Linked DNA regions of Rattus norvegicus. The protein of the gene in region 2 purifies or fractionates together with the protein of the main gene of each other region. This does not show direct contact. Links are inferred from orthologs where the notes say so. Each region holds a gene or a part of one and is shown on either strand. Other genes may lie near its edges.

Region 1 (4,190 bases), on a different chromosome or scaffold from region 2:
TACTCTTTCTTTCTTCTTTCTTAAAGAATTATTTATTTATTTTATGTATATGAGTTCACTGTAGCTGTCTTCAGACACCCCAGAAGAGGGCTTCAGGCCCCATTATAGATGGTTGTGAGCCACCATGTGGTTTCTGGGAATTGAACTCAGGACCGCTGGTAGAGCAGTCAGTGCTCTTTTTTTTTTTTTTTCCGGAGCTGGGGATCGAACCCAGGGCCTTGCGCTTCCTAGGCAAGCGCTCTACCACTGAGCTAAATCCCCAACCCCGCAGTCAGTGCTCTTAACCACTGAACCATCTCTCCAGCCTATTCTCCTTTTTTAAGGCAAGAAACTAAAGGGCAGATGCTAAGAACACCAGAGGACATGAGTAAAGGCCAGACTGTGGTGGTGCATGCCTACATGCTTTTAATTCCAGCACTCACAGAGACAGGAGGATCTCTGAGTTCAAGGTAAGTCTGGTCTCGAGAGTAAGTTCCAGGATAGCCAGGGCTATACCCAGAAACCCTGTTAGGACAAACAAAACAACCCTCAAAACAAAAAGCAATCTTGAAGACAGAAATGACATATATACAGTTGTTTGCTTAAAAAGAAATATACGTACTGACAGTCTATCAAAGAGAGAAATCAATGAGTTCATGAGACCATGGCAACAAAGTAAACAAGAAGATATACTATGCTTTCAGTTCATTTAAGAGCAATGTACTTTTAAACATCTTTGAAGGTAACATAGTTAATATGAGCTCAAAGTCAGGATTCCTTAGGCTGCATTAGAGTTTCTCATAAACAAAACAAAAGTCATTTGTATGAATATATGTTCGATTGTTCAACTGCTAAAGTAAGTAAATGCAGGGGGTTTTAAGGAATACAGCTGGTACACTGCCTTCCAAAAAGCACAAGGTGAGTGCACAAGGCCTTCCCTATAGGCCTGTAATCTCAGCACTGGGGTAGTAGAGGCAGGAGGTCATCCCTGGCAACAAAGTGAGTTCCAGACCAGAGACATGCAAGACCTTCCCTTAATAAAAAAGAAACACGCTTAGATGATTGATCCCTGACTGCCAATTAGACTGAATTAGAAATGAACATGGAAACATATCTCTGTATATTTCTATAATGGTGTTTCCACCCTGAATGGGAGCTGTGCTACATCATGGGTTGGGGGCCTGAGCGAGCGAACTAAAAGGGACAATGTGAGCAGAACCCCAGCATTCATCTCTTTCTGCTTCCTGACTGAGGAGAAACTGTGACCAGCCATCTCATGCCCCTACTGCCACGATGGGCTGTACCTTCAGAGTATAAGCAAAATAAACCCCTCCTTAAGTTGCTTTTGCAGGTATGTGGTCATAGCAACAAGAAAAGTAACTAGTACTTATACTTGTTTCTAGTTCATATTCCCAACTCCAGACATGAATATTTAGAAATACTTGTATTTAGTAACCAATTAACCCAAGAAAGTCTCCTTTACCCGTTTCTTTTCCTTAAAGTCAACAATGTGATTGATGGCAACAACTGAGTATCCCACTGAAAAATAGAAAAATAGGTTATTTAAAAAATATTCTTTCTTGTTCACAGTGATCATACTGATATGAGATTCAAGAGTATGGGATGAGGCTAGGGATGTAGCTAAGTGTTAAAATGCTTGCTTAGCATACGCAAAATCCTGGACGCAATTCTAAGACCTAGACAATAAGGGGGCGGGGCAGAAGGCAGATCTGAGCCCTACTGTTTATTGTTACTTAAGGTGGAGTTTCAGGTTCTTCATCTGTCACATGATGGTAACAGCAGACAGGAATTTCAAGTGTCATGAAAATGATGTGAAACAGCCCCAGCGTTTTAGAAGAGTACACATATTTGGCTGTGACATTTAGAAGCCAGGAACATATTTAGGCTGTGGTTTATGTTCACACAATGTTAAAAACTCAGATTTATATGTCTTTCTGTCACCTTTGACATCATTCATTCACTTCTTCTGCGATACCCTTTCTATTTCCTCTTTCCTAGGGAGCAAAGGAGGGATGACTCCCTCACACCTCTTTTGAGGTACTACTCTCTCTACACTGAGACAAGGAACACTACAGGCCTGCCTTACCATCACAACAGTTAGTGTACTGTTTGTGATACGTGCCCTCTCCCCAATGGATTTAAATCACGACTCTTATCTATTAAGTTGTCCAAATACCGACAGGATGATAGGGTATTGATATTTAAAGATAATGCATAGTAATGACAAAAACAAAAATCAAGTAACAAAAAGCAAAAAACGGTCGTTCCTCTTATCAGGCAGCCCAATAACTCCCTGCTTTCCTTCCTCTACAAGGGTTTTGAGAATCTATTATTTGGCAAGCCCTATGCCAGGTGAGAGCTCCCATGATCAATGCTCATCCTCAAGGAACTTATAATGCTCTAGAAAAATAAGGTAACACCCTTTCCATTCTCTAAGCTTCCACAGCAGTTCCTGCCCATGACCCAGCTTTCTGTATTTGACAGACGTCGTGTGACTCAAAAAGAGCCGGCTTAGGAGTGCAGTCCGTTTCTATCATTTATCAGCTCGTAGGTCCTATGCTAATCTCTCCACCCCCTGGGCCTCTGTTCTCTCCCTCTGCACGAATGACTGGGCAAACACAAGTAACAACAGTTTTGTCAAGAGCCTCTGAGTTTCTCACGCAGGGGATCCGGGTGATACTGCAGCTATAATCTGCCTCTAGAGACGTCAGGCAGATCCCACGCGAGACCCGAATAGCGCCTGAAAAAAACTACCAAACAAAGCTGGATGGTAGGGAGGACAACGCGAAGCCAGAAGACTCACGGTGAGCAGCGGTCTCCACGAGTCCGCGCAGAGCCTTCAGGTCTGAGCCCGCTCTTAGATCCAAATCTGCGAACGCCGCCATGCTGACATCCCAAGAGAACCCGCGCGCAAGTCTGCACAGCCGCTGTGTTGCCCCTCAGGCATGCTGGGAGTTTAGGTTGTTCCTTGGGCATCCTGGGATTTGTAGTTTTCCCTTCTCAGTCAGCAGAGACTTTCCTATCCCCCTAGAGCCCGCCAAAGTTAGTATGCTGATCTGAAATACATAGTCTCAAAAGCAGATAAACTGAACAAAAAATGAAGAGACATTGAAAGTTGTTTTTCTTTCCTGTTTCCACAGTACATTCCATTCTTTGAAAATGGCCGCAAAGGGTTTTTTGAAGTACTTGGTCTGTGGCTAAAGATTATCTAAACTCTTTGAGCTTTGACAATTCCTTACAGCCAACATCTACAACCACAAGATGGCAGAGTGATCTCAAAGATGATGGCTTATCGCCAGCATTCCCTTAGCGAGAGGACTGACAGGGAGGGGCAAAAATAAAAACATGTTTTACAATTTTTCATGAGAAATATAAAAATATCATTTGGTGTTTCTGCTTTAAAATGGACTCTTAAAAAACAAACTCTTCAATATTGACAGATCAATTATTCACCAACCTAAGATGGTGGCATGATTTTCAACCTACTTGACATAGAGGGCCAGTCCATTACCCCTCTTCATTCAGTCTTCGTTCCAGCATGCGAACCCTTTGCGCATTACTAATAAGCAGCTCCTACCTTGTGCAACTCAATAGGACTTCTGAACTGCTGGTCTCTCAAAGAAGAAAAGTCCACTGATCATGAGCTTGTCCATTGGGATAATACCAAAGTGCTGAAAGGTGAAGCATTTTCAGTTTCTGTACTGATCACAAACCATAGGGAGTCTTCTCTCTCTGATCACACTACTGTAACGATCTCTAGTTTCTTACAAATTTCTGAAAGATGATGATGACAACGACGACGACGACCATGATGATGATCATGTGGAGGAGGAGGAGGAGGGGGAGGGGGAGGGGGAGGGGGAGGAGGAGGGGGAGGAAGAGGAGGAGGAGGAGGAGGAGGAGGAGGAGGAGGAGGAGGAGGAGGGGGAGGCAGAGGCAGTATTATTAGTAGTCCAGGGTAGACTTGAATTCACAATCTTCTTGGCTCAGTATCCTTGGTTCTGGGATTACAGCCGAGCACAGCTGCACCTATTTTTTGATTAATTTTCAAAAATGATTGTTTCCAATACTTTTTATTTCCCCAGAGCAAAACAACAACCAAATAACTTCTGCAACTAGAGCAAGGCCATACAAAACAAACTCTTGCTTTTTTTCATCAGAGTGTCCAGTTCTAACCTTTATAGTAGTAG
Region 2 (2,819 bases):
TAGAAAAATTCCTTTCCCATTTCAGTGAGGAAGTGTACGCATGTGCATTACCTACCTTGTTTAAAATCTCCCAGCTCTTGAGGTGCTAGAACAAGACAAGTACAGTTTCATGTGTTGCTAACGTTATCTGGGCAGTTGTGTCAGGAGAAAGTGACAGTTGTTTGGAATCCTTACACCATGTCATTCCCACTGGCTCATTTCAGAAAGCCTTAGATTACCTCTGGTGTTCAAAACCTGGTGCTGACAGCATGGGGCAGCCTTAGTCCTCAGGAGCTCTGTTCTTGTGGGCGGTGGCCTTCTGTAGATACGGCAGCAGCACAGCCGGCTGAGGATGTGAGGGAAGTGTGTCTGCCTGTGAGGCCCACACAGGCTGCAGGAACAGTCGCTTAGCCCCTCACATTGAGAGATTCAGTTTATTGTGGGTCTTACAAAGATAGAACAGTTTAGGGTTGTGAGGAAACAGATCATGATGATGAACAGTTAGCAAGAGGGGTAACAAACAGGTCTGTTGATTAAGTGGTAGTCTCTACTTCCCAAAATATGTTGACTATATTGCCCTATTGCTGTTTCAGTAATACATCTTTTTTCCTATGGAACACTTTGTAAAACATTAGAGTTCACAGTATTCTGGAAGGTGGGCAGCATTGTTCCATTCATACATGGAGAGATGGTTTTCAGTATTCTGGAAGGTGGGCAGCATTGTTCCATTCATACATGGAGAGATGGTTTTCAGTATTCTGGAAGGTGGGCAGCATTGTTCCCATTCATACATGGAGACATGGTTTTGTTCAAGCTGTTGGCCCTGGAGAGCTAGGACTTATTTCAGGTCCTCCCATTATTATTTTTGTTTCAACTCAGAGATGCACCCACATTTTACTCAATGCAAAGTCAGTGCTTCTAGTCATGGCTGGGAAATCGGGGTCCTAAATTGCTTATTAATATATATTAATATATAATTTTATTTCTTTAAAGTAAGAGCAGAGGGACTTGGCTTAGGCACATAGACCTATATTAATCTTTACCAACAGTTATGAGGTGCGAGGCAAATGCCAAACGTATGAGGTAAGTTCTGACTGCAGGGGATACAGAACAACTCCCAGGACACCTCACAGGGGTCAGTTTGTCTTTGCTAGATGACCCCTCGTTATTTTCATTCCTTCCCCCTGTTCGTTTCCTGCTACAACATGAGCTTAGCCAGAAGTGGATTCTGACACACCACAGAGCTTTTAATTTGTGATATTTTGCCATTTCCACTCTTGTTTACCTAGAAACAGATTATCAGCACGAGGGAAAGGCTATGGCTCTTAAGTGTGAACAAGGTCACACCAGATGTGTCCTTGCTAGGCAGTCATGAGAGTTACTTTAGGGCAAAATGGAGGCACATCTGCCTGTATCCTGAATCAGAGAGGGAATCTGAAAAAATGCTCTTAGGTTGAAACTCCCATTTCCTTACATATATACAGGCCTAGGACTTGTAATAAATTGTGTACTCTTCTGTTGACAGTTGGTGGAGACAGTTAAAAGTGCTTGAGAACTTTTTAGTATCATAATAAGTTGAGATTTCTCTCTTTTGTTCTTTAGTTTGCCGAAGAAGCTTCAGTGCATGAAAACATCTCTTTGCAAGGGCCTTCTCCGAGGCTTCAGTGTCAGCACTTCAAAGCACCCTCCCAGACAAAGAAGATCAAAGTATAAAGTTTTATCAAGACAAAGGAAACCACAGAGAAAGTTACAGTCAACTCTTATAAAGGAAACCCAGCAGGTCCCTGAAGGGACTCTGAAAACCACTAGGGACAGCAGTGCTAAGAAGAGATGCTCTGGTGGGACAGTTCAGAGGTCAGATGTCTGTCTGAATGGAGAGCAGGTCTTGAGCAAACTTGCAAAGCCTGACCTAAAAGCTAAGAAGATGGGGGTCCATGGGAATCTGAGAGGGGGCGGTGGAAGTGAAACCGGCCTGCGGACGAAGAGACAGGTGCACATGCACAGTGCGCCAGGCACCGCTCAAGAGGCAGATGACATTGATGATATTTTTGCTTTGATGGGAGTTTAGATGTACTTAGGTGAAACTTCTGAGCAGTTAACAAGCTGGTCCAGTGTTCTGCTGTTTTAAGGGGTATTGCTAAGATCTGGAAACACTGCTTAGGCTGAGAGCTGCGTCTGTGCAGTATTCCAGTGTGTGCATTCCAATTCAATAAACATTGACAGCAGCGTTGTGTAAGTTAATCAGATGGTGAGTATTTGGCTTTGACTGTGCAAGGTGGTAAATATGATGAATGGCCTGCCCCTGGGGAACGCACCCTTCATGACTGAAACAAGTAGGTTTCTCAATATCAGATGACTTTATGATCTACTATGGCATTAAAATCTGGAATTATTTCACAAAATCTTATGTATCTGAAGGTAAACAGAACAAGGTTGGCATAGCAGAGAAACATCATGTTTTTAAGGTTTTTACATTTTGTGCATGGGTACGTACTTATGTGTGGATATCAGACAGTAACATACATGAATATGGGTATCGGAGGGTAACTTCTGAGAGTTGGTTCTGTTCTTTTACCTCTGGGTCCAAGGGGTGGTGTCCTAGTTAGTGTTTTGCTGCTGTGAACAGACACCATGACCAAGGCAAGTCTTATAAAGGACAACATTTAATTGGGGCTGGCTTACAGGTTCAGAGGTTCAGTCCATTATCATCAAGGTAGAAGCATGGCAGCATCCAGGCAGGCATGGTGCAGGAGGAGCTGAGAGTTCTGTATCTTGTTCCGAAAGCAAACAGAAGACTGGCTTCTAGGCATCTAGGAGGAAGGGCTTAAAGCTCACACCCA
Region 3 (3,452 bases), on a different chromosome or scaffold from region 2:
ATGTGGGAATGAGGTCTGCTCTCAGGGAAACAGCGCGTGTGTAAGCTTGAGCTTCCTTTTGTGTAGCACCGGGTGCTCAGGTGGAGGCTGAATGGCAGATGTGTGCACCTCGTTCTAAGCTTCACAGCTCTAACGAGGTAAGCACCTCACCCCCCCACTTTTTGGATGAGAGCGCTAAGACCCAGAGAAGGAACTTTTATCCAAAACCACAGAGCAGTAACTTGGGAGTAGGAGAACCAGGATCAAAACCCTGAACCGCCAAGGCTGAGTTCATGATCCCACTACACTAAAACATACGCATGCCACAGATGGGACAACTGGCTGAGTCCCAACCCAGCTTAAAGCAGGCGGCAAGAAGCCATCCAGGTTACTACTGCTAGAACTTTCATCGAGACCAGATCCGTCATCCACTGCCAGTCTCTCTGTATCCTTCCTGCTTCCAGCCTAGGAGCTCCTGGGATAAAGCCAAGCCCCACTCACACGCAGGCCAAACAAAGCGGCACAACCTTTATTTCCCTTCCCTAGTCAGAAAAGGCAAGTCAGACATACTATAGAGGCAGAGTAAGCTCTCCTCACGCAGTCTTTAACTCAGCACTGACCGGACCCACACCAGTGCTTTTTTTTTTTTTTTTTTTTTTTTGGTTCTTTTTTTCGGAGCTGGGGACCGAACCCAGGGCCTTGCGCTCACACCAGTGCTTTTAACAGTTCCACCCCTCATTCCAGAGAGGAGGGGAAGTTCTTCTGTGGACTCTGCTGGCATGGTGAGCAATCACAAGCACTTCTTAGAGAAGGCACAGATACTCAGGTCTAGAGTACAGTCAGGTCCAGCAGATCGTCAGGACCGGGTGTCCCGAGCCCTCCTTCGGGGTCTGGGACCACAGCTGGAACTAGGTATGGAGCCCAGGCCAGGAGGTGCACCTGGGGGTTGGTAGCCACATTCACTGGGGTCCAAGGGGTCCCGACTAAGCAGTACCCACACTGCAGGCACATGGCGTCGGACTGTGAGGGGGTCCAGGCCCGTGTCCGGTGAAGTTGGGACCCAGCTGTCCTCAGTTTGCAGGAAGCGAAGCTTGGTGAGCTGGTGTAGGCCCGGAACCCGCCGTTTGACAATCTCTGCACAGCTGACGGCCTTTCCAGCGGCCCGGCCGGAGCCTGAGAACACCACGTGCCTTGTGCTTCCTCCTTCCAAACGAGCCAGTGCCAGCCCTAGTAGGTTTCGGATTTTGCTCCCATCTCGGACCCGCATTTCCAGCGTGTCGGGAGGTAGCTGGGGCATTGGTGATGAGGCTGGGAGCTCTACAGAGCCAGCCCTCCGGTAGTGCTCCATTCTGCTTTCGAGCCTTTGGTGACTCTCTGGATATACACTGCGGGAAAGAGTCAGATGAGTGGCAGGAACATGATCACATGGACCATCCTCCATCACTCCCTCCAGAATGTGGTCCTGTTCCTCACCACGGAGAGTGCTTTTACACCCTCACCCCAGCACTTCAAGGCTGGGGCCGAGAATTATCTACCCCTTTCTAAATACATCCACGAGTCTCTAACATTGACAAAAACAAATTCCCAAAAACTAGGCTCTCTGGGGTAGGGTTGTGCTTCATCATCTCAAGCTCTCCGGGGCTAGGTCCCAGACCCCAGGCCCACAACTCTCTAAGAACAGGCAGGTTCTCCTCACTGGGCTTCAAGGACCCTGGGGCACAGCCATGAACCCTCACAAAGTACTCCCCAAAGAAAGGATCGGTCTCACCTACGGTGTGTGGGGGGCAGAGAAGACCTCACTCCCAGATTAACTGAGTAGGCTAGCTTGAACCGGGCCACTCGGGAACTCGCGGGTGAGGACTCCCCGGAGAGCTGCTCGGGCCACTCGTGAGCGGTTGGCGGACTCCCCGATCGTGGGCCGCTGTCCCAGGCAGCAGGTATCCCCCTTTCCCTAACTCTGAGTCCCCACTCCCTGGGATTTGGCTCTTACCACCGTTGCCAGAAGACGCTCAACCCTCACCGGGTAGCCAAGATGGCGTGCAGACCGAGAGCGCGCGGAGCCGCGGGGCCGCGCACGCAGGGGGCGGGACCTGAGGGAAACCCGGGTTGCTGTTCGACTCAGAGGAGCTGATGCTGTCACCTGGGCGGCCTCGAGCGTCAGCGCAGTGGTCCGCGGTACACACCGGCACCTGCAGAAGGCCCACCTGAGAGAGCAACAGCTATCGGAGGAGTCCTGAAGAATGCAGATTTGTGCCTTTAAAGGATGGATGGCACAGCAGCGAAGGCGACGTCCGTGGTGGGTACAAGCAGGCAAGACCCTTAGTTACGGAGTTCTGAGCTTTGTTCTCATCCTGGGACACTGATCAACCCCGGCGGTTTTCAGTAAGGTCTAAGCCATAGCTTGTGCATAACTCATTGGCCACGGAGGATTGGTTTATAAGCATGGCGGATCCGGTAGTGGGGGCAACAGATACTGGTGACCCTGGGAAGGGGCTGTACTCAACATCATCATAGCGCTTCGGCCACGGGGGCGTGCGCACAGAGCCTAGTCCAGTATCCAGGGTAAAAATAGGCCCTCCGATATTTGTCCAATGAGGTGTTAACCACCGAAACAGCAAGAATTGAGAAGAGGTGGTAGAAACTTGATAGAAACTTGTATGAAGTTTTGGGGACGCGCGGGTGACTATTCGGGTAGAATAGTTTAGGATGACTGCCAGTTTCAGATCCGTTTGGATACGCTGCATTTTGGATGCCAGCAACTCTACAGGTTGGGCTGAAGCAACTCTACAGGCAGTTGAAGGAGCTAAGGCACTCCCTCAGACCACAAGAGGGCAGCATACACCGGGTGGAGCGCGGTACTGTTTCTCCCTGTTTTCTCATCAATGTACCCTGATTTTCCTCCTCTCAAGATCCTAAAATTTCTTACATCTTGGGCTCCTCCTCTGGCTACTGGTATTATGTAGACACAAGGCAGTGCAGCCTTGGCTCTGAACGTCCATTCCTGCTCCTCCAGGACCACCTGACATGCAGGCCTACCTGGTCTTCCCCAAACCCTGTGTAGAGATTAGCTGTCCCTGCCTATGCCCTCCTTACTTACCATAGGATGTGATATTTAGAGGGTAGTTGGCAAATATAAGATAAATAAATATACAATGCCCCGCTGTATAGTCAAATGATGAGAGAACTCTATCTCTCAGCAAACCAGATCAGGGGTATAGCTCCTGGTCCCATCCCATGGGGTTGGCAGCTCTCCTCTTCACCACCCAGATCCTCACAGCCAAGCCCATCCTGTATCAGCAAGCCAACACATTGCTTTAGTGGTCTCTATGGTTTATTGTCACTGAAATAAATACATTTGACAGGGAGTACAAATCATGACCCTAAGGTAAAGCTGACCTCTGACCTCAGAGCCCCCAGTTGAACACAGACAGGTAGTATTTGAATTCAGAGGCAAAGCTGTCTCTGCCTTATAA

The links.
Region 1: the proteins of Nepro (region 2) and Rpp30 purify together in Homo sapiens (affinity purification with mass spectrometry; 3 studies listed by BioGRID and IntAct, counting the BioPlex papers as one, with this or other methods). This does not show direct contact. The link is inferred for Rattus norvegicus from reciprocal best matches to the Homo sapiens genes RMP64 and RPP30.
Region 3: the proteins of Nepro (region 2) and Rpp25l purify together in Homo sapiens (affinity purification with mass spectrometry; 3 studies listed by BioGRID and IntAct, with this or other methods). This does not show direct contact. The link is inferred for Rattus norvegicus from reciprocal best matches to the Homo sapiens genes RMP64 and RPP25L.

What each region holds. Positions count from the first base shown.
Region 1 is NC_086019.1:243,197,416-243,201,605, reverse strand, and holds the start of Rpp30 (ribonuclease P protein subunit p30), read right to left. Parts: upstream 2,894-4,190; 5' UTR 2,886-2,893; coding exon 2,804-2,885; intron 1,519-2,803; coding exon 1,463-1,518; intron 1-1,462. UniProt on the Homo sapiens protein: Component of ribonuclease P, a ribonucleoprotein complex that generates mature tRNA molecules by cleaving their 5'-ends. Also a component of the MRP ribonuclease complex, which cleaves pre-rRNA sequences.
Region 2 is NC_086029.1:69,463,664-69,466,482, reverse strand, and holds the end of Nepro (nucleolus and neural progenitor protein), read left to right. Parts: intron 1-1,581; coding exon 1,582-2,047; 3' UTR 2,048-2,220; downstream 2,221-2,819. UniProt on the Homo sapiens protein: May play a role in cortex development as part of the Notch signaling pathway. Downstream of Notch may repress the expression of proneural genes and inhibit neuronal differentiation thereby maintaining neural progenitors.
Region 3 is NC_086023.1:61,673,805-61,677,256, forward strand, and holds Rpp25l (ribonuclease P protein subunit p25-like protein), read right to left. Parts: upstream 2,018-3,452; 5' UTR 1,970-2,017; exon of another isoform or gene 1,748-1,969; intron 1,365-1,747; 5' UTR 1,328-1,364; coding exon 836-1,327; 3' UTR 617-835; downstream 1-616. UniProt on the Homo sapiens protein: May be a component of ribonuclease P or MRP.